Linked DNA regions of Coturnix japonica. Each later gene encodes a partner of the first gene's protein in a complex. Links are inferred from orthologs where the notes say so. Each region holds a gene or a part of one and is shown on either strand. Other genes may lie near its edges. The genes, in order: CALCR, RAMP2, RAMP1, GNB1 and RAMP3.

Region 1 (4,244 bases):
ATCTACCCTCTCAACTGCTTCTGAAACTGCCAGTAAAGAAAACATTCCAAGCTTCCAGATCTTTAAAGGTAATGGCCTTAAGTTGCACCAGGGGAGATTCAGGCTGGATATGAGGAAAAAGTTCTTAGAAGGAGTGGTGAGGCATTGGCACAGGCTGCCCTGTGAGGTGGTGGAGTTACCGTCCCCGGAGGTGATCAAGAAACACGTGGATGTGGGACTGAGAGCCATGGTGAGGATGGCTTGGTGGTTGGACTAGGTGAACTTAGTGGTCTTTTCTTAATGATTCCATAATTCTGTGATCTCCAGCACTTAGCATGGAGCTGATCTTGCTGGGTGGCAATGGGCCCTCAGCAGTGCTGTGCATCAGGCTCTGGGCACAGTGCAGCCCATGGAAGTGGGGAGCGATGGGGGGTTGTAGAGTCTCCTTCTCTGGAGATACTCAAGACCCACCTGGACGCCTACCTGTGTGACCTGGTGTAGGGAACCTGCTTTGGCAGGGGGGTTGGACTCGATGATCTCTGGAGGTCCCTTCCAACCCCTATGATTCTGTGAAATCTCCACCAGGTCCCTGCTTCTGCCAGAGATCTGCCAGCAGCAAAGTAAGCACGACAATGTGAGAGCTCGCGTCCCATAGACTCTCGCTATTTCTTTAAGAGAAAGAGCAAAGCCTACAGCGAAGGCTGAAATCTGAAGGGGACGACGGTTGAGTCGCCCTGACTCCCGCTGCCCCCCGGCTCCACCTGCTGGGAGCTGCCCGCTGCGCGTTCGGAGGCAGCGCGGGGTGAGAGCTCTCACCGGCTGAGGATGTGTCAGCCGGGGACGTGAGAGCACCGGGAGCTGGCACAGCGCGGTGTCGCTCCTCAAGCCCCGACAGTCGCTGCTCCCTCACTGGTACGACTCTGCTCCCTCCGGTGCAGCGTGGGGCGGAGGGGAAGACCTCTTCCCTGGCTCTCCTTGTGCTTAAAAGGCTCGCATAACTTTTGGAACGGGGGTTTGGATGACTGCCGGCACCGACTGCAGTTTCCCTCACGGCAGCCGGGACCCCGCTCCCTCAGCCCACGCTCCTCTCCCCTCGGCCCTGCGTCCCCCTGGCTTTTCTCTCCCTAAACGCGAGCTGGGCTCGGAGGAACTTCTCCGGGACGAGGAGGAGGAGGCGGCAGGAGCGCACAGAGCCACGCTCCGCGGAGGAGAGCCCTGAAAGGCACCGCGCCTTCACGGCACGCAGTGCCCAGCAGCAGCGGCTCAGTCACCTCGCCCCCATCTCCACCACCTCCACCAGCACCACGCGGGTGACGGGACTCCACGCTGCCACCCCCGCCTCCTCCGCGGGGCCGCCCCCGCCCCGCCCGCTCGGCGTGGCCGCCCCGCCGGCATCAGGCGGCCGGGAGCCGCGGGGAGGCGGGCGCGGGGGAGGCGCTGCTGCCGCCGGGCTCTCTCCATCCGCCCCGCACCGACGTCGGCGCGAAGCCCTCCCGGCGCCCGGGGGGAGGGAGAGAGGGAGATCGCGTCGCGGGCGAGAGGGGGTGGATGCTCGCAGAGGTGCGGCTCCGCAGGAGGGTCTCGGCTCTGGGCTGAGCCGCAGCGGGACGCGGAGTGTCTGGGTGTCCGAGCTGCGAGGGCCGTCCGGGAGCCGGCAGCCGTGGAGCGAGCAGAGGGCGCCGGGAGAGCGGCCGCAGTAAGTGCCGGTAACTTCGCCGCTCCGTGTGGGCGAGGGGTGGAAGAGAGTCGGGGAGCGAGCCGGGAAGGGAAAGCAAGGCGAACAGTGAAAAGGGAGCGGGCTGAATGGGTCCGAGCTGGGGCTGCCGGCGTGGCGGCTGGGGGACACCTGAGTCCGCAGCAGCGCTGCCCGCTCTGCCCTGCACGGTGTCCGCGCTCCCTCCGTCCCGCAGGGCTCCCGCTGTGATGATAACGGTGTAAAAGCGGCACTGGTCCGTCTCGGAGCGGTGCCGCTGGTGACGGTAGGTTGATGTATGAGGCTATTTACTCTGTGTGTCCAAGCACAATATAAACGCCTGCCAATTTTGTCTTCAAATTGCTGTATTGATTTCATTCTTGCGGGCTTCTTGACAAGGTTAAGGTAGTTGACAGTTCGTAAGGAAAAGAGAAAAACTTCTGGTTTATTTTGGTAACTGAATGTCGTTTGTAGCTGAAATGGTGCACTAAAAAATCATTCATAAAAAGAGAAAATGGGAAGATGCGATCCCCAGACCTCCAATAGGAAAACGTGATCCCTGGACCTTCTGCACTCAGTATTATCAATACCAGATGCCCTCCTGCCACACTGCTGTGCCCACCTGAACCTCAGGGTAACACAGTATTCTCCCTGAGACTACATGCCTCCCCGTTACAGTTACATAGTTGAGAATGAATGAAGTCAGCCATTGCGTTACTGCACGCTTTGTCTTTCCGCCAGCTCAGATTCAAACTGAGATCCTGCTCCTTTCCCCCGGTGCTGGCAGGGCAGTGTTTGGCAGGAGGCCCCATGCCTGCCCCCAGAAGGATCTCTGTGCTGCTTCTCTGCTCTCAGCAGCTGAGGTTGATGACGGAATTTAATTCACCACTCGTACAGTAATTGTGAATTAGGGAAATTAAATACAGGAGAGCAAGTGTTTCCTCTGAATATTTCCAGACAGCTGTCAGCCTTTACCATTAGGTAACCTTTGCTAAGTTGCCTTTGTGGTAACTTACATACAGTGGCTGACATGAAATTGTGCTGGATGAACTAAAACCTTCCTGACAGTGCCACTGTATGCTAACTGTGTAAATCTTGGGTAAATCATGTCACCTTACAGACCAACTCCTAGGGTAGGTTTAGCAATAGGTCTTTATCACTTGAAGAGTTGGTATTAGCCAACTTTGGCTAGAAATTCAAGTGATGGTGTTTAAATTTGACTCTCCACAGCAGCATTTTGAAATCATGGGTGATGGGCACAGGGATCTTAATGTTTAAAAATGGCTACACATAACAAGCTGTTTTGTACTTTCATGAAAAAATAGGCCATTCAGACCTGCCTTACACTCATATCTTTATGGGCATTTTCATCAGAATGGTATATAAGCAAGTTTGACTGCTGCTTGCATATGTACTGTATTATAACACAGGTATTCAGACAGTGTGGAGGCATAGCAAATTATGTTGCTTGTGACAAAGGCATTTACAAATAAACAGCTAATATTTGATTTACTATAGAATTATTGGCTATTAATAAGAGTTCTGTTATTATGGTCTAGTTCTCTATAGCTCATGAGCTTTAAGGAGAGGTGAAGGAACAGAAGCATCCTTTCTAAAAGCCTTCTTGAAATAGTACTGCATAAAATATGTGCAAGAATTAATTTATTAAGCTCACCAAATCCAGCTTAGCAAACCTTTTTCTTTCAGATCTACAAGGAGAAGGCTTTTGAAAACCTTTTGAAAAAACTGAGAATTTTCATCCAAAATGAAGGCGGTCTTGTGTAGAACGTTTTGCTTAAGTGCCTCCCTTCCAATCTACCTCCCGTATCAAAGTGGAATGGGACACTGCTGAAAGTTACCCAGTTAGTGTTGAATGTTAATTAAAAGCTGTTGTCTAACAAGCACTTGATACAACCAAATTCAGATCTTGTCATTTTAATAATGCCGTCGTGACCAAAATAGCTGCCAATAATTTCCATCAGTTTTGTGTAAGCAAACATGGAAGAAGGAAAAGCTTATCATGACTTAGAGCTCCTAAAAAGTCATTGCCCAGAAGAAAGACCGCTCTATATTTCCTTTTATAATGATGTATATGAATACGGGTTTTGGAAAAAATGAGCAATGAAATAATTGAGCTACACTTGCCTGGAAGCTGTGATAGCACGTGCCGTGAGATTTGGTTTTGCAAATGCTCATCTGTTCTACATATCAGTAAGCTCATTTTTATTTATTTTTTTCTGATAATTGGGGTTCAGATCCTAATTGCTGCCATTAGAGTCAATATTAAATCTTCTCTTAATGCTCATACTGGTCTCAACTGAGCCTTCCAGGAGCCATCCTGGTACATGCTGAGCACTTCCAATTCCTGCTGCTTGTGTCAGAGGGGCATCTGGGCAGAGAAAAATTCACTCCCTTCAGAAACTTGTGGTGTAGGTAACAGAGCCAGAGACACCTTGCTGAAGGCCCTGCTGCAGGTCTGGAACATCAGTACTGGCTGCTTAACAAGGGTACACTGAGCAGCCTTAACAAGATTGAGCATTCATGCTTTCGATGTAGGTACCCTCAAATAAGT
Region 2 (4,282 bases), on another chromosome or scaffold:
GTACGGCCTGCAGAGAAGCACAGCTCACTGGGCTGCCCGCCACCCCCGGCTCGGTGCCCCCGTCCCCCCCTACCTGCTGATGACCTTCCACTCGCACAGCTGGGAACCGCTCACGTTCTGCATCAGCTGCTCGAAGGACTCCCAGCAGCGCTGTGTCAAGTTGGTGTAGATCACCTCTGTGTGGGGGTGGGCACTGAGCGCAGCCATGGGGCGGCCTTGGAGGGGTTTGGGGATGAGGAAAGGGGTCAACACTCACCCAACATCTCAGCCGTAAAGTTGAACACACGCGTCACTGGGGTTGTTCTGGCCGCTGGGGTTGTTCTTGCCTCCTGCCCAAAGCTCTCGGCCGTGGCACCCGCTCGGCAGAACTCATGGACCAGCAGTGCTGCAGGAGGGGGACATGCTGAGCACTGAGGAGGGGGAGCCACGGGTCTGCAGCAGTGATGGGAACGAGGAGGCCCAGGGAGGCGGTGGGGTGATGGGATGGAGGGTGACGGGGTGATGGGATGGAGGGTGACGGGGTGATGGGATGGAGGGTGACGGGGTGATGGGATGGAGGGTGACGGGGTGACTGGGGGCCACCAGCACCGTGGGGCCGTGCTGCACTCAGCGCCTGGCACTGGGGCAGGGAGCACCTATTTCCAATCGGGAAGAGGAAGTGCTGACCGCAGCGCAGCACAGCCACGAGACAGAGCCTCCTGCCGCCCCCCCCCGTCTGTGGAACTCACTGGCATGGGGCACAGCCCCTCAGGCCCCACCAGACCCCAGAATCAGGATCACTCCTGTCTGTTTTCCACCCTCGGTGTGGGCATGGCACACCACCCTGGTAGCTACTCTGCTGTGGCCTGTGCAGGCTGGCCGTGTGCTGTGGGCCGGCACAGCGGCTGTGCACTGGCACAGTTGTGGCAGCAAGGGCAGCCCACGTGCCCCCAGCGCCCAGTCCCCTGGCCCTGGCACGCTCCCTGCCCAGGGCACAGCTGCCATCCAGACCGGGTCCCCTCAGACGCTCCATCGCTGCCCACCAAGGGGAAGGGGCCGCCCACAGTGCCCGGTGGTGCTGGATGGCTGCCGTAGCACTGTGTCCCGCTCACCCAGCACAAGTCCTGCCTTGACCGGGGTGCAGCCGCGTGCTGTGGGGCCGAGCACTTACCGCAGAGCAGCAGGAGCCCTCGGGAGAGGCAGCCAGAGCCCATCTGCGCATACGGTGCCATCCTGCTGGAGCCTGCGGGCTAGCGACCGGGACAAGGATTTCAATGGAAATAACAGGAAGCAACTCCTTTCCTCTGACAGGGGCTGTTTGAACTACAGGAGACGTGTGAAAAATGAGATTACTTAGTGCTGCTCTGAGGCAGCCCTCCCCACAGGACCCCACCGCTGTGCAGCAAGTGTCGGACCCCCGGGCATCGCCCCACACCTCACCCTGGGCAGCAGAGGGGCTCCCGCAGCACGGCCGCTTCACAAGGCCGCTGTTTGTTTACTTGTGTATTTCTCTTTAATCCTGTCTGGGCTGGGTTGTGAAATCCCTCGTCTCCTGCGTGGAGGGCAGGCAGCCCGGCAGCGGGGGGAGTGGACGGTGGAGCAGGACGTCCCCGGAGGGTTCTGCTGGAGGCTCGGGGTCGTTACGGCCCCAGCCCCGTGTTCATGGCGCCGTGTGGCACCTGCCCCGGGGGCACGGGTGGGGCTGGAAGGGACGGCGGCGGTACCACGGGTGTGCGAGCCTCAAGCAGGCAGGAGGAGAGGATGGGGCGAGGGACTGTGGCTGCAGAGCTCCTCTTCATCCCGTGCCACCTCGGCTCCCACCTCAGGGCAGCGCGGTGCTGGCTCTGCAGGGTCCCCACCCGGGGATGGAGCTCAGGCCACGCGAGCTCATCTAACTGCTTGCCAAAGGCTGAGCTCCAGCCCAAAGCTTTCCCTTTAAAATCCACTCATGGGACTCACAGAGCACAAATCACACAGCAGAGAATTGCAGTTCATGGGGACCCTCCCTGCTTTGGAAGGATTCTATTGCTGTGCTGCACATTCCTGCTGCAACACACTGCACGTGCTATGTGCAGGCTGAGGCAGCCGCCACCCTCCTGGCACTTGGGAGCCCTTCAGCGGTACCGGGAGCCCACGAGGCTGCGGCACAAAGTCACAGCCCCATTCTGCACTTTGTTGTCACAGCCCTGGAGCTGCAGCCGGCAGCAGGAGCCTCTGCCAGGGTGACACCCGGTGATCTCAGCCGGCCACTCCTTGCACAGCCGGGGCAGTCTGCCAGCACCCACTGCTCCCCAGCCCCATTTTGCAAGCTCCCCCCAGCCCTTGGCTGCAGTGCTGTGAGGGGGACTCGACTGAGCAGCGGGGGAAGCATTTCCCATGTTCTGGGCTGGGCTGCAGCCGTCCCGAGCCCTGCTGCCAGCCTCGGCCCATGGCACAACGGGCACAGACGCAGCCTGGACCCCGCCTGCTGCTTTGACTCGCTCTGCAGCTGCCCACGTTGCGCTCTGGGGCTCAGCGCAGTGTGGGCAGTGAGGCTGCGGGGGTTGCGCTGGGTCCAACCCAGACCCCAGGTTCTGCCGGTAGTGGGAGCAGGAGCCGCAGCCCCGACGAGCATCTTCCCACCGGCTGCAGCTTCCCCCCGTGCCGGGGCGTATCACCGAGCTCATCTCGGCACCTTCCACCCGCGCTCAACCCAATGTCAGGGAAGGCGGAAGGTTCTGCCCGACTCAGCAGGACGGGCTCAAAGGCAGCAGATACGGCCAGGACCGGGGCTGAGCTGTGGGATGAGCAGCCAACGGCCCCGCTCACTGCCCGGACAGGGACCCGCGGGTTCCCCCCGCTCCTTCCGGCTGGGCGGAGGGGAAGGAAGGAAGGAAGGAAGGAAGGAAGGAAGGAAGGAAGGAAGGGGCCCGGCCGGGAGCGCGGCTGGGGAAGGGAGCGCCCGGCCGCAGCCCCGAGCAGAGCGGGGCCGGGCGGAGCCGAGTGGAGCCGGGCGGGGCCGGGCCGCGAGCGGCCGGTTCCGGTGCGGGGCGCCGCCCTTCCCGGTCGGAGCCGCAGCTCCGGGGCTGCACCGCGCGGGGCGGGGCGGCGGCGAGGGGCGGGGCTACGGCGGCGCATGCGCAGTGCGCGGGGAGCGCGGCCTCCCCCGGCGCGATGGCCGAGGAGTGAGTGCGGGGCGGGGCGGGGCCTGGGGTCCGGCGGGGGGCGGGGGGCGGCCCGGCACGGCGGGAGGGGCCCGGGAGGGAGCGAGGGGTCGGCGGGGGTGGGGGATGGAGCGGGGCGGTAGTGCCGTGGTAGTGCCGTGGTAGTGCCGTGGTAGTGCCGTGCCCTGTGGGGGCTGGCGGCTGCTCGTAGGGGGCAGATCTAAGTCCCCTGAGGCCCCGTGGGGCCCCGTGGGACCGTGGGCTGTTGTATGGGGTGCGCCGGGCCCGATGGACGGGGCAGCGCCCGGGGGTTGGGTGAGGCCTGGGAGCGGGCACCGGGCGGGGCAGCGGCTGAGGCCTGTCCCGGACACTCCGCAGTGTCACCGTCCCGGCAGCCACCGGGGGTCCCCGTGTCCCCTCGTGGCTGGAGGCTGCGGTGATGGGGGCCCAGGGAACCCCCGTGGGTGGAGTGGAGCGGCCCGCTGGGTACGTACAGCCCGGGCCGGGGACTCAGACTCCTGGATGGGAGCTGAAGCGTCCCTTGGGCTCACAGGGCGATGCCCGATGCCCAAACCCCCGGCTCCAACTTCTCCATCAGGTCGCACTGTGTATTCCCAGCCAGGAGCTGTCCTGTGCTGACAGCCTGCGCAATGTCCTTCCCAGCCTCCTGGCAATGAGATATTCTGAGCTGGATGTAACACTGCTCCTGACATGTTGGCCTCCCAGCGCCCTGTGAATCGAAAGATTACAAGCAGGAAGGAGAGCTGCTTGGACAGCGACAAGACAAGGGGGACTGTCCATAAGCTATAGAGGGCAGGCTTAAGTCAGATGTGAGGAAGCAATTCACTCCTCAGAGGTGGTGAGGTCCTGGCACTACTGCCCAGAGAGCTGTAGGTGCCCAAGGCCAGGCTGGGTGGGGCCCTTGAGCAGCCTGAGCTGGTGGGGGCACCCAGCTCATGGCAGGGGATGAGGCTGGAGGGGCTTTAAGGTCACTTCTAACTCATCGTTCTGTGAGTTTATTCTTACTGTATTTTCATAGAAAAATGGAAATCGCCACTCCTCCAACATCAAAGTGTATTATGTATTGGAAAAGAAAAGTCAAGTCTGAATATATGCGTCTCCGGCAGCTCAAGAGATTTCAGGCAAACATGGGAGCAAAG
Region 3 (3,952 bases), on another chromosome or scaffold:
CGCTGCACCATGAGACCACAGCTCAGCACGAGGAGCTGCACTGGCACGGCAGCCAGGGCTCAGCAAAGCCCCTGCACTCTGAGAGCTGAGCTCTCTGTGTCTGCCTCGGCACTCATACTCTGCCGGCACATCTGTTAGCACAGCTTGTTTGATCTTTCCTTTCTGAAAAAGAAAATCCACACCTGCTTCATCAGAAGCATCAGCGACCTCAGCATTCACCACTCCACTGTCTCAGCGGTCACCCCCAGTGTAGCCACATCTGTGCACAGACATGGAGCAGGAAGGAACAAACAGGCTTTTTTTCTTTTAATCTTTCTTCTTTTTTTTTCTTCACCCAACTAGAGCAGGACATACTTTAAAATAAAAGCCTGCAAAAGGACACAGCGAAAGAAATGCATCCCCAACTCAGCGCCAGGATTAGCTGCCATCTATCACAGCTAAGTGGCTTACACTGAGGCAGACGTCCTGCTGTGAGTGCTGGAACTGGAAAAGAGCAGCCTGGAGTACCACCAGCTCCCGCTCTGTTATTTCCAAAGCCCCTGAACCCAAACCACGTGGCAGAAGGTGCAGTAAAAGAACGAGCAGAAGTCCTGCAGCCAAACCAGGAAAGCCTCCTGGCCATGACTTCCTTCCACCTGGATGTTTCACCAGTTAAAGAACAGCAAAGATTGGGTTTAGGGCTCTGCACAGATGGGAACAATGCGAGTGACCACAGGAATAAGGTGGGGGAATTCCACCCCTGGAAGGGGAAAGCAGCAGGGATCCCATCACGAGGGACACTGCCTCGAGCTCCCCGTGGGGTCATGTCCCAGAAGCCGGCTTACATTTGTGACCCTAGAGAAGGGAAAGGGACTGCAGACAGAAATCTTACAGCAGCAGGAGCTGCTGTGTGCTGGCAGTGGTACCTCACAGTCCCACCTAGCAGAGCAGAGTGCACTTTGCCTGCCCTAACTCCCCCTGAACGAGCTGCAGCTACAGAGCAGTGCAGTTAATGACAGCGCTGGGATGAGCCCAGTGCAGCCCCATGCATTATTCAGCAGGGTACCAGGAGAAAACCTGCACTAAAGTGCAAACGGGGAAAGAACAAGGCTATGTTTCCTCAAGGAGCACTTCAGTGTCACGCAAAAGCAGCTGCATGGCACTGTGCGGCTTCTTTTTTAAGCAATCCTAAATATGCTTCTCACACAAAGTACCAAAGCACAGTGGTAAGGTTTTTAATGAGTATACTCGGGTTATAAGCCAATCCTCTACCTGTTGCGCACGAAACCCTACCAACATCGAGGAGACCTCACGCCTTGTGAAAGCAGATGGCTGATGCAGGAGTTCCCAAAGTGACCGGCGGTCTCCCACCTGCAAATCCATCCCCAGCTCAGAAGCATTGGCCAGAAGGAGCACTTCTGGCTGGCTCCTCTCCTCTCGCCTGGTTAAGAAATGGCAAAACGGAGAAAAAAAACGGAGAGACCCCTCCTAGAGCGGTTTCCCTGTCGTTAATTTCTGCACTGGAAGCGAAAGGCAGGGGATGTCTTCTGACGTGAGCGCTCTTCAGTGCATCCCACCGCGCACAGAGGACCGTGTCGGACCGCATCGCCGGCAGCACACACAGAGCCCAACTCCCATCGCTCCTCAGCACTTGGGAACGGCCGCTCCTTCCCGTTCCCCCCGCAGCCAACGCGGAGCGGGCAGAGCCCGCACAGCCCGCGTTCAGGAGCCTCTCTCAGGGTCCCCCTCTCCCCCCTGGATGCCGGGGCAGCCCAACTCACCCAGCACGAAGCAGAGGAAGCGGCGGGGCAGCAGTGCCATGGCCAGCAGCAAGGGGCCCGGCTGCCGCCTCGCCTGGAGCTGCGGCGCGATCGTGCCCGTCCTTGGTGCTTGTTTCGTGTTAACAGAAATCAAGCGAGTTCGCACAGCTCCACCTGCGGGAATCGGCAGCGCTCTGCGTTACGGACATCCCCGTTTTCTCGTCGCAGCAGAACGCCTCCCTCCGTAAAGCACCGTGCCCATCTCGTTGCACAACTAGGGAGCACGGAGGGCGGTGTGTGCTGTTAGGGATGCGGTAGGGCGAAGCGCTCAGCTGGGTGCGGGCAGGGAGGAAACCAAAGCGGAGGCTGGACCCGCAGCTTCGGGATAAAGCAGCAGCAGCGCCTGGCAGCGCAGCACCGGGGCTTGGGATGCGTTTGCCACCACGGCGAGGGGAGAGCAAATAGTGAGGGGTGGAAATAGCAAAACGACAGCACAACTCTGGGCAGAAGGAATCTCAACCTTTATTCACGGTAAGGCTGCTTTCGGCAGCACGGGCAGCCAGGAGCAAAGTACAGCCAAGGGACAGAGATGGACAGCAATGAGTGGTATGACAGCACACGCCCGCCAGTGACAATCAGTGCTGGCTTCTTCCCTCAGCCCCACAGCAGGCACACACCCAGCTGCCTCTCCTTCCGTCGCCAGAAGAGGATGTAAAACCACGGGAGCAGCTCCACGGGCAAACAAAAGGCTGGGTGCTCCCGTATCAACCCAAAGCAGACCTCGGGGAGGGTCTGTGTGGGAGAGGCTTTCCCCTGCACAGTGCTATAGGACCCAAAAGAAAAGCTTCTAGACCCAGCCCTCCTGGGCAAGGCTCTGCTCAGAGCAGCCGCTGCAGCACGGGGCTTATGTAAGCGCACTGCCAGCGCCGTGCGATCTGCAAGCCGGCCCTTGCTGCCTCTCCCTCCCCTGCCTTGCGTGAAAAGGATACTTGACATTTCTGCCCACTATTTGGAACTGTTATCTGGAAAGCACGTAAGCGTGCCGGCTGTTTGTTAGCATGGCAGCTATCACCGTGCCTGACACAGAGCGGCACCGGGAGCCGGGGCTTGTGTGCTTCAGCAGAAAGAAGTCCTGCTGCTATAAGTCTCAACGTGCTAAAATGGGAGCCTTAAAACCTCATAAGAAACAGGGGGAACTACACAGAACAACCAAACTGGGAAGAATTACTCAATATCTGTCTGCACAAAAAGCTGAAAAGAACTTGGGGCTATGTTCGGTCAAACAGAACTGCAAACCAAACAGCAATGCTAAGCGAGTTGTCACGAAATCAAACAAACAAGAAGGACAGAACAATCCCGGAGCGAGCTGGACTGCAAAAATCTGTCATGTGAAGTGGTCGGTTCTTCATTACATCATCTACGCAGAAAGGAAGATAAAGGAAAAGCAGATTAAGTTTTGCCTGAACACGTGTAAGGCGAAACAAAACAGCGGCGTTGTCAGCATCCCAGAGCACCACTAGAGGCTGTATTGCTTTTACTATGGAGGGCAGAAGTTTGCATGCAGGAGCGAGGTTTCCTAGCCCTGAGAACTGCGTACCAAAAAGTTATTACGCTAAAATGCAAAGGGACAAGCAAACTTATTCTGTTCAGTACCTACAGCAGGAATAAATATCACACAAGAGAAAAAATCGTCAGGTTTTAAACCAGAATCGAGCCTGGAGTTCCTCTGTGAAATGCTGCACAGGAACTGGCCACTAGATGTCACCTTTGGCCAGAACATTGTTAATTTACTCCACTACGTTCATCGATAAAACCCGCACAGTGAAACCCCCATTGCACCCAGGTTGATGAGTGCACAGAGCCAGCAAGCTGCTCTGCTCACAGACGTTCTGCAGCAGCACCTCATCTTTAGAATCTGCTGTTGTAGTGATTCATACTCATTGTGCAGGAACAGGTTCCTAGGGAGCTCTCATTGTCAGGCTATGCAGCTAGATTAATTCACATCTATGTTGTAGGCTGGAATACTTACTGATCGCCACTGCCTTTCCCTGTACAAACAGCCGTTGGTTTCCTTAGGATTACAGAGGCCCTTTCCATAATAGAACTGATGGACAAGCCACTTAGGACACCATTATTGTTCTTCCTCACCTCCAGCAGAGCATCCACGATTTTATCTCTGTAGGAGCAACATAAACAGCTGCTGACATCACTTG
Region 4 (4,263 bases), on another chromosome or scaffold:
TCTCACCAAAATTATCAACCCAAGGTCCTTAAAAAAAATAAATTCAAAGCTATAATATCATAAATCTCCATATTATCTTACAGTATCACAGAGACACAGAACTGTTTTAATATCCCTAAAGCCTTTCTTACTCATACCCATAAAAATACAGAAGGATGGTAACAATTTGGGGCCAAAAGAAGCCTAAAAAGCCTCCGCCCACCACAAGCACTGAGTGAGATGGGAGATTTCGATGGGAGATTTCGATGTTCCATGGAGGGAACCGCCTGCAGGAGACCTGGCTGTTACCTGAGCAGCAGGAACCAGCAGCACAAAGGCAGGAAAGCCTTTGCATACCTGTCTTCTAGGTTAAAAATACCATTTTTTTCCAGCAACAGGCTTAAGAAAAACAAAGAACATTTTGATGGTATTAAGCAGGAACTGCAAGGTTAAAAAAAATACACAAAAAACACAATAAAAACCTCAAAATTGTGTCACCTCTTTGTCCAGGAACGGCCGATGTGAATGTTACACTAAAACTATTTACTCCTCCCACCCAGTTCCTATCTGGAAAGGCTCACAAAAAAACGTAAAAAAAAAAAAGAATAAAACAAAAACCCACCGATTTCTTGCAATAATCTCCCAAACGCTCCTCCTGCCCCTCTTAACCCCCAAAAAAAGAAGCAAGCAAACCCAACGAGAAAGTAAATCTAAATACAATTACGAAATAAGATCGAGTTTGGCCAAGCTGTGGTGAGGAGGAGTTGAAAAATGAGAGCTGCCTTGCTGCAAACGCCATCTTGTTGCAGCTACTGGGCCCAGGCACAGAAAGATCCATTCATTCCCAGCGAAAAGAAAATCAAACACACACCCTGGTTTAATCGGCAGCCACCAAAACAACCACACTATTATCGTCCCTTCTCTTTCTCCTCTCCTAAAGCACAAAGGGGGGGGGGGGGGAGAAGTCCTTTAAGATGTCACATTTCGAACCAATTGAGAGCTGAAGAGAGGCTGCGTTTTCTGCAATGCATTTCACACACATCGGCAGCGTTTTGTCTCCATGCACACATCCTTGTGGCTGCCAGATCAGCTTCAAATAAGGGCTAAGTCTCACGATTAGGGGCAGCAAAACCTTGAATTTTTCGCTTTTCCATCTCCGAGCTGAGGCATCAATTCCCCAGAGCCATCCCCAGGACCCCTCACATTCAATCCCTTTTCCTCCTATTTTCTGCTGTGGGGACAATACATAATAACGTGGCATAAGAATGCCTTATTTTAAAGCAGTCCCACCTATGGCTAAAGAATAATAATGAAACATCACGTTTGTTAAGATTTCAGATCGCCCTCGGGAATAATAAATTGACATCTTTTAGATCGTTCGGATTTCTTGCTGGGTTATTTCTTTAATTAAAAGGCTCTTTTTTTTCCCCCTTTAATGTAATTCACAGCACGAAATAACAACCCTCCCATTTAAAACCCCCAATCCACGGGTTAAAAAGGAGACGAAATAAACCAGATTTTAAACCATCGATAATAAAGCAGGAGCAGAGGCGGTATTAACATCTTCAAGGAGAAAAAAAGCTCCTTTTTCCTCTTGCAGGAAACACCCTCCATGATCTTCCTGACGGCTGCTACAAGCACAGCGATATGCAGAGCGATGGGGGGAACGAGGATGTGCCAACAAAACGCATCCTGGCTCCCATTTTAACGGGAACAAAACGTTTTCTGCCCGTCCCCCTCCCTTCGTTCCCCCCCCCCAGGACCCCACACGCAGGGCTGGAGCCGTCTCACCCCGCATGTGCCTCACCCTCCTCTCTCTCCGTCAGCTTTCCACCATTACAGCAGCCACACCACAGCTCCTTTCTTTTCCTTCACTCTCTCTTCCCAACGTTCCTCCTCCCGTCGCTTCGATCCCTCTGGAAACTCACACCGTCCTCACCCCCCCAACCCTTAAGGATCATTAAAAATGGAACCCCACAAAAATCCAACCCACCCCCCCCCCAATCTCTCTTTTTTTTCGCCTTCGGGAGAGCAGCGGTGCCACCCCCACCTTTTTTTCCACCTCCTCCTCCTCTCCCGGCTCTAAACACGCTTCTTTTTTAGGGGAGGCTCGAACGGCGATGGGGGAAAGCGGGGGAAGGGGGGGTCCTTCCACCCCGCCATGCTGAGGGCGCCGAGCTGCCCTTCCCGCCCAGGGCTGAGGAGACGGAGAAGATGGGCGAGGAAAGGCGAAAAAACGACAAAAAAAAGGGAGGAAGGAGGGAAAAGAGAAGTGCGGCAGCAATGGGGAAGAACGGGGGGAGGGGAGCGGGGTGGAAGGGCGCAGCCACGCAGAGGAAGAAGGAACCAGGGATGGAGGAGAGCGCTGAGGGAAGATGGCCTCAGGGTGGGGCCGCGCTGAGGACGGGGGGCTCGACGAGGAGGCTCGACTCCCTGCGGGGAGATAGGAACGCCAAAGGATTCTATATGGCCGCCCCGCCCGCCACCCTGCGTCCCTTCACACGGTTACCTGCCCTTCCGGCCGCTGTTCATCCACAGGGCCGCTCCAGCCGTCGCCCGCGGCTCCTGCCCGCGTCCCCGCCGGCCTGAGGAGGGGAAGGGGCGGCGGCGGAGGGGAGAGGGGGGAAGCCGCCCGCGCTGCGCTCCTGAGGCAGAACGGCTGCGGGCCGGGGCGTAGACACGGAAGGAGCGACGGAGCGGGGCGGGGGTACCACCGGGTCTCGGCTCCTCCTCGTACACTCGGACCCCGCTCAGCTCCCCGCAGCCATCGGGAAGCAAGAGCCTGGGCGCGGTTAACCTCCCCCCCCCTCCGCCCCGCCCGTGACTGCCCGGCCGGGAAACCCCGGCTCGGCTCGGCTCCCCGCTCCGCCCCGCAGCCGGCCCCCGGCTCCGCCCCGCTCCGTTCCCCTACGGGCGGTGGCGCCGGCACCGACGGCGTTGAGCTGCGCCTCGGGCCTCGCTGCTTCGAAGGCGGCAGCCGCTGCTCAGTCAGTCAAACTCAGTCGGTGAGGAAGGCTGAGCTGACAGGAAGGGGAGATTCGAACCATCGCCGCCTCCTCCCGCTGGTTCCTCCCCGTAGCAGGAACAAAGGGCGCGGGCGGGTTTCGCTTTCTGCCCCGCCGCGCCATGCTGCCGCGCCCACAGCGTCCCCTCACAGCGTCCCCTCATAGAGTTAAACGGGGCGTGTGAAAACGGAGCAAAAGAACAATCAACAGCGCTGTTTTTGCTTTTTCAACGGACAAAGGGAGGTTTGGAGGAGCAGCACACACCGTTTTACTTCGGTTAAAGAGCATTAAATGTAAGAATTGGCGGCTGCTAGGTGTAATGGTAGGGGATGGGGCTCGAGGCCTTGGAAAGAAACGAACCCCTGTTGTGTCACAGTATTATCCTCACAGATTTCAGGCTGTGGTACAACACAGCTCACAACTTCCTGTTTTTTATTTATTATTATTTATGAATTCGTATCACAAAGGTTTTTGCACAGCCAGAATTCTCAGGGTTTGGGGTTTTTTTCCCCCATTTTATCACTGTTTTCATATTCTCCCCACAAACGCTCATCTCTGTAAGGCATTGCAGAAAAGAGCAAGACAAAAAACACAAAAAAACCCCAAAAAAATCCAATTTCTGTTTCACAGAGCAGACTTCCCCCAGCTGAATCAGGAGAGAGGTTCACAAGATGGGATCACAGCAGCACTCACGTATTAAAACATCATTACTTATTGATGGAAAGTAAGTACACAATTGCATCATATCTTTTTCCTATCAGCACATCTATATCCCTTTCCCTCCCTTCCCCCCTCCACCATTTGCTTATACTTTGTTAAGTCAGGCAGTGAGGAGATGCCTTGCTACAGGAGCAGATTTGAACTGCTACTTGCTATCATGTTTTTTGGGAAGGCAGGTGTGATTACCTGTAATTAACAAGAGGTTTGTCCATTAAACTGTAGGGAAGTGGGTGAGCTATCATTCCAGGTGTCTGTTAGGAATAACTGTTCAATCCCGGTGTGGTTAAGCCTTTGTTTTATGATAATCTAATGCTTGTCCTTAAATATGCCAAGTGCTGAGCAAAGGCTTTAATTCTTTGTCCTGAGAAATTAGAATAAAGGACTCTCCAACCAGACCCCCAAACTGATGCTATTCTGTCACCACAGAAATATAACTTCTAATCCATCCCCACAAAAAAAATACACATGCGTGTGCATTGTGGCCAGGAATTAGCTCCTTACAACCTGAATACCAGAGCTCCCACAGGTTTTATGTACAGAAATGTTCTTGAGACTGTGG
Region 5 (3,932 bases), about 22 Mb from region 1:
ATTGTAGATGCATCACTACTTCTGAGTTGCTTAGATCCTACCCTACAGTTGGTAGATAACTTCTAAGCATCTACACTTCATATGGGAACAGTATCAGTTACGTGCCTATGTGTCAGCTGCCTCAGCTCACAGATTCCTTCATCCCAACAGATGTGCATACAGGTCACAGCAAATCCAACTTCTATAATTTCTGTGCTTCCAGGAAACACACACAACTGCCTTTTTGCCATCTTTGCAAAGAGGGACAGTACAACAGATGGTTCTACGTAATGATAATATTTTAAAAGCCATAAACAGAAAGACAGGCAGAAGGCAGTGGTGTGAGTATGCAGAAGTGAGGTTCCAGTCCCTTACAAGACAAGCTTCCTATAGCATTCAGAGAGCGCTAACACTGAGGACTCCTGTCCCACTCCGCAGGTTTCAAGAGGTAAATCTATTTCACGTGTCGCGTCTCCCATAGTCAGCAGGGGTCACTACCGCAATGGAGCTATCCCAGACTTGGAGGAAAAATATACACGAATTTATTACTGAGAGCTTTCTTAACGATAACTAATACTCAGAGAGGGAAAAAAAAAAAAGAGCATTATAGGTAAGAAAACATTAGGCAACGGCTACTACAAGGAACAAAAGATTGTAAAGATAAAAGATAGAAAATGGGGAAAGTGACACAGATGGACAGATGTACAAACTGCGAAGCAAAGAGGTTCACCACTCTTCAAACCAATGACGTCTTGGTGTCAGATTCTGATCTTTAGTAGTGGTAGTTCACAGGAGGTTGTGTTGTTCAGCTGATAAGTAGGACAACAGTACAACCTCTTACTTATAGTCCAAAGTGGTCGAGCCTGCTCAAGAGAGTGACAGCTTCTGGCTTCAGGATCACAGCAGGAACTCCTTTGCTCCTGTCTTCCATGCTTTGTAAATTTAAATCAGGAGATAAGAGGAAGCAGGGAGACGTCAGCTTGTATCATCTTCACAGGGTACAGTGGTATCATTTCCCAGTCTTCCGTATCAAGCTGGAATCCTTTGCTCACAGGACAAGTTTTCAGCCAACAGACACTCCTGGGCCCTCCCATTCGAAGGAAAACATTCCCAAGAAACACTGTCAAATGTAAAACTATCCACAAAGTGATGTTGATTGACTAGTGTTGACTTGAGATACTCCTTACCAGTCTTGGACAACTCTTCAGCTTACAGAGAGTTTATGGCTCTCTGGTTAATCAAAAGAAGCCATTAGAAAAAAGGGAGAAATACACACACAAGATTTCATGTCTCAAAATTTTCAGGGCTCCCAAATGGCTTTTCTACCAGGAAATGTCTATGATTTAGTCTAGTTTTTGAATATATCTATCCTTCCTAACTTATAGCAACAGTAACACATTATCAGTCATCAGATATCCTTAAAACCATTTAGTTAGTGCTATTAGGCAAGCAACAAGCACAGTCAAAAACTGCCTGGCACAATTGATTTACCTGTTCCTTTCTGGTGAAAAATAACTGCTAGTTTTCAGAACCACAGCAACATTGCTCCTCATTACACGCTCTCCAAAATCTTCTGTAATTTCACATTGCAAGAGTCACAGTAACATCAGGAGGATTTCCCACTCAGAAAAATTACTGGTTGATTCACTAAGCTCAAGGTTGCACAAATTATCATGTGCCAAGGTAGGTGTTAGCCTTTTTTTACTATTATTATTCCTCAACAGCTGGAAAAGGAAAAAAAATCCAAATGATCAAGGTAAGGCTTTAGCAGTCCTCAAGACATGGAGAATTCCAAACTCTATTTATTTGGCATTACATTCTTGTGACAGGGAGATCAAGACAACATTACCTAACACTGTCAGTGTAACAGTCAATATAGTTACTGGTATTTCCAGTGTTTACCAGCTTTACATTTTGGAAAGAGTAAGAAGCTAGCAAACAAAGTTTAAGTAGTACTCAGTCTAAATCTACAAGGCTGATTTTCTTTTCTCCTATCCATGACACATTAGCTGCATCTTGGAGGTTACTGTGGAGTGAAGTTCAGAGCTGTCATCTGACACAAACTTCTGACTGACCACAACATACTGTATCTCAGAGTCCTAAGACAACCTACCTGATGATGAATAATTAAATAAATAAATAAACAAGCCACTCAAGTAGTTCTGGAAATAGAGCTGATCTCTCCTTAAGTGCAAGGTCTGAAAGATATCTGCACTTTTACCACTGCTCGTGAGCAACCCAGCCACTCTAACACAAAATAACCCTTCCTTTACCAGTGAAAATTTTCCCCTCTCACGCACTCGGAACTGCTTCACAGACACCGGACTGGGGCTCCCAGCTAGAACGGCAAGCAGTGCTGCTCAGTTCAGTTTCGGGAGGGATGCACATACCATACCGTACTGCAGCGAACAGATCTCCCTGCGAGATGCTGCTCGGGGGCAGAAGCCGCGCCGTACCCGCAGTGCAGCCGCCCTGCAGCCGCTCAGCCCCGCGCCTGCGAGGGCGGAAAGCCTAGGGACGACAAGCTGCTACCCACTACCCCGCCTCGCCCTGGCCCGGCGTCCCGCTTACCCCAAAGCAGCAGGACGGGAAGGTGCCGCCGGCAACGGACGGACGCCTCCATCCCAGCGCGGATGGGGCCGCGAAGGACGGAGCCCACATGGGGTGATGATCCGTAGCCGCGCAATGCCACGGCCGTCTCACTCCCTCCCACAGGGCAGGCTCTCCTTCACGCCCCGGCGGGCGGCCCCGGGCGGCGGCGAGGCGGGTGAGGGAGCGCGCAGCGTCTCCGCCCTCGGGGTGCTCCCGGGGCGGGGCAGGGCGGGCTGCGAGGATCCGAGCGGGGGATGCGGGTGGGGGTGCGCCAGGAGCGTGCGCTTTCCGTGAGCATGAGTAGCGGGCGGGTGCATTTGTGTGCGGTTATGTACGACACTGCACAGACAGGTGTACAGGAGTGTGCCTGTGTCCATGAATGTGGGTGCATGTGTGTGCATTCATGTGCACAGCCATGCATATGCCTGTGCAAATCCATACGCATGCATCCATGTGAACACATGCATATACACATGAATGAGTGTATGTGTAGGGAGCCTGCTTTGGCAGGGGGGTTGGACTCGGATGATCTCTAGAGGTCCCTTCCAACCCCTACAATTCTGTGATTCTGTGAGTGAATATACATCCATGTGCATGCATGTGCGCACCCATTTGCAAGCATTTGTACATCCATACATACGGGTGTGCAGCTGTATGGTTCATGTGTGCACCTATGCACATACATCAATATGCACGCCCACATGCACATGCAACCATGCCAGCAGGCCCCCCAAAAGCCACAGCAAGCAAGCAACATGATACCACTCCCAAGAAACTGAACTAAAAGGGGTGCTTCACTCTCTCACACCCACAGAAAACATGCATGCTACCAGCATCCAAGAGGGGAGAATGGAACCCTTCACCTGCTCCAGTTGAAGCAGCCCCTACCTCCTGCCTCTGCAACCCAGCAGTGGGTTGAAGGCATGAAGGTCTGGAGAGCTACATGTGCTAGCTCACTTGCAGCACCAACACAGTAACTCACTAATATCCAGAGCTGAACATGTGCAGAAATCTAACTTAATACCCAGAACAGAGCAGCCACAAGTTCCATAAAGATGCTTGATTTATTTTTGTGTTGTTTCATCTCTGTCTGGCCCTGCCCACAGGGAGAATGGTAAGACCCTCATTTTTATAAATACTTAAATGCTGTGAACTTGAGTTCTTTCTCTCTCTGGGAAATAAGGATCTCTGCAAAGAAACATCAGGCTGAGAACCTGCTAAAGAAGCCTTTTCTAAGCTAGAAGTATTTGTACTGCTCTAGAATAAAAAGCCACAATTCACCTCAGTAACTATCTTTCAGTCAAACATTAAATCACAGACATCATTGTAACAGTACACTGTGAAACTAAACTTCAAAAAGA

Evidence for each region.
Region 2: the proteins of CALCR (region 1) and RAMP2 are in contact, whole or in part, in a cryo-EM structure (PDB 7TYX), measured with the Homo sapiens proteins. The link is inferred for Coturnix japonica from reciprocal best matches to the Homo sapiens genes CALCR and RAMP2. Residues at the interface, in NP_001158210.1 of Homo sapiens: Arg45, Lys46, Met48, Met49, Asp50, Gln52, Tyr53, Lys54, Tyr56, Asp57, Met59, Gln60, Trp76, Gly78, Arg126, Phe235, Leu238, Ile242, Thr246, Val250, Glu255, Lys256, Gln257, Arg258, Trp261, Tyr262, Leu264, Leu265, Phe269, Pro273; in NP_005845.2 of Homo sapiens: Trp86, Tyr93, Ser94, Arg97, Asp98, Glu101, Leu109, Pro112, Glu117, Ile120, Phe121, His124, Phe128, Cys131, Pro136, Phe138, Ser139, Asp140, Pro141, Leu146, Met149, Ile150, Pro153, Ile154, Leu156, Ile157, Leu160, Ile161, Leu163, Val164.
Region 3: the proteins of CALCR (region 1) and RAMP1 are in contact, whole or in part, in a cryo-EM structure (PDB 9AUC), measured with the Homo sapiens proteins. The link is inferred for Coturnix japonica from reciprocal best matches to the Homo sapiens genes CALCR and RAMP1. Residues at the interface, in NP_001158210.1 of Homo sapiens: Arg45, Lys46, Met49, Asp50, Gln52, Tyr53, Tyr56, Asp57, Met59, Gln60, Gln61, Thr75, Trp76, Asp77, Gly78, Asn124, Arg126, Phe235, Leu238, Ile242, Thr246, Val250, Ala251, Gln257, Arg258, Trp261, Tyr262, Leu265, Phe269, Ile276; in NP_005846.1 of Homo sapiens: Trp59, Ile63, Tyr66, Arg67, Ala70, Asp71, Phe83, Trp84, Pro85, Val89, Asp90, Phe93, Leu94, His97, Gly98, Phe101, Ser103, Arg109, Ala110, Val111, Arg112, Asp113, Pro114, Ile118, Leu119, Phe122, Ile123, Pro126, Ile127, Val129.
Region 4: the proteins of CALCR (region 1) and GNB1 are in contact, whole or in part, in a cryo-EM structure (PDB 8F0K), measured with the Homo sapiens proteins. The link is inferred for Coturnix japonica from reciprocal best matches to the Homo sapiens genes CALCR and GNB1. Residues at the interface, in NP_001158210.1 of Homo sapiens: Arg174, Ser175, Arg404, Gln408; in NP_001269468.1 of Homo sapiens: Thr47, Arg52, Phe292, Ala309, Gly310, His311, Asp312, Trp339.
Region 5: the proteins of CALCR (region 1) and RAMP3 are in contact, whole or in part, in a cryo-EM structure (PDB 8F0K), measured with the Homo sapiens proteins. The link is inferred for Coturnix japonica from reciprocal best matches to the Homo sapiens genes CALCR and RAMP3. Residues at the interface, in NP_001158210.1 of Homo sapiens: Arg45, Lys46, Met49, Asp50, Gln52, Tyr53, Lys54, Tyr56, Asp57, Met59, Gln60, Arg74, Thr75, Trp76, Asp77, Gly78, Asn124, Arg126, Phe235, Leu238, Ile242, Thr246, Gln257, Arg258, Trp261, Tyr262, Leu264, Leu265, Phe269, Ile276; in NP_005847.1 of Homo sapiens: Cys57, Leu59, Ile63, Tyr66, Glu67, Thr70, Tyr83, Trp84, Pro85, Gln90, Ile93, Thr94, His97, Arg98, Phe101, Ser102, Cys104, Val106, His110, Leu111, Glu112, Asp113, Pro114, Val118, Leu119, Leu122, Ile123, Pro126, Val127, Leu129.

The regions. Positions count from the first base shown.
Region 1 is NC_029517.1:21,156,664-21,160,907, reverse strand, and holds the start of CALCR (calcitonin receptor), read left to right. Parts: upstream 1-1,439; 5' UTR 1,440-1,675; intron 1,676-4,244. UniProt on the Homo sapiens protein: G protein-coupled receptor activated by ligand peptides amylin (IAPP), calcitonin (CT/CALCA) and calcitonin gene-related peptide type 1 (CGRP1/CALCA).
Region 2 is NC_029542.1:4,631,614-4,635,895, reverse strand, and holds the start of RAMP2 (receptor activity-modifying protein 2), read right to left. Parts: upstream 2,802-4,282; 5' UTR 1,420-2,801; intron 1,363-1,419; exon of another isoform or gene 1,303-1,362; 5' UTR 1,212-1,302; coding exon 1,151-1,211; intron 386-1,150; coding exon 257-385; intron 177-256; coding exon 74-176; intron 8-73; coding exon 1-7. Other genes in the region: histone-lysine N-methyltransferase EZH1, read left to right, coding at 3,562-3,608, 4,162-4,282. UniProt on the Homo sapiens protein: Accessory protein that interacts with and modulates the function of G-protein coupled receptors including calcitonin gene-related peptide type 1 receptor (CALCRL) and calcitonin receptor (CALCR). Required for the transport of CALCRL to the plasma membrane.
Region 3 is NC_029522.1:8,560,583-8,564,534, forward strand, and holds the start of RAMP1 (receptor activity-modifying protein 1), read right to left. Parts: upstream 2,805-3,952; 5' UTR 1,801-2,804; coding exon 1,761-1,800; intron 1-1,760. Other genes in the region: RNA-binding protein 44-like, read right to left, coding at 3,153-3,156, 3,769-3,915. UniProt on the Homo sapiens protein: Accessory protein that interacts with and modulates the function of G-protein coupled receptors including calcitonin gene-related peptide type 1 receptor (CALCRL) and calcitonin receptor (CALCR). Required for the transport of CALCRL to the plasma membrane.
Region 4 is NC_029536.1:1,628,881-1,633,143, reverse strand, and holds the start of GNB1 (guanine nucleotide-binding protein G(I)/G(S)/G(T) subunit beta-1), read right to left. Parts: upstream 2,806-4,263; 5' UTR 2,489-2,805; intron 1,957-2,488; exon of another isoform or gene 1,787-1,956; intron 1-1,786. UniProt on the Homo sapiens protein: Guanine nucleotide-binding proteins (G proteins) are involved as a modulator or transducer in various transmembrane signaling systems.
Region 5 is NC_029517.1:42,832,576-42,836,507, forward strand, and holds the start of RAMP3 (receptor activity-modifying protein 3), read right to left. Parts: upstream 2,805-3,932; 5' UTR 2,603-2,804; coding exon 2,551-2,602; intron 1-2,550. UniProt on the Homo sapiens protein: Accessory protein that interacts with and modulates the function of G-protein coupled receptors including calcitonin gene-related peptide type 1 receptor (CALCRL), calcitonin receptor (CALCR) and G-protein coupled estrogen receptor 1 (GPER1).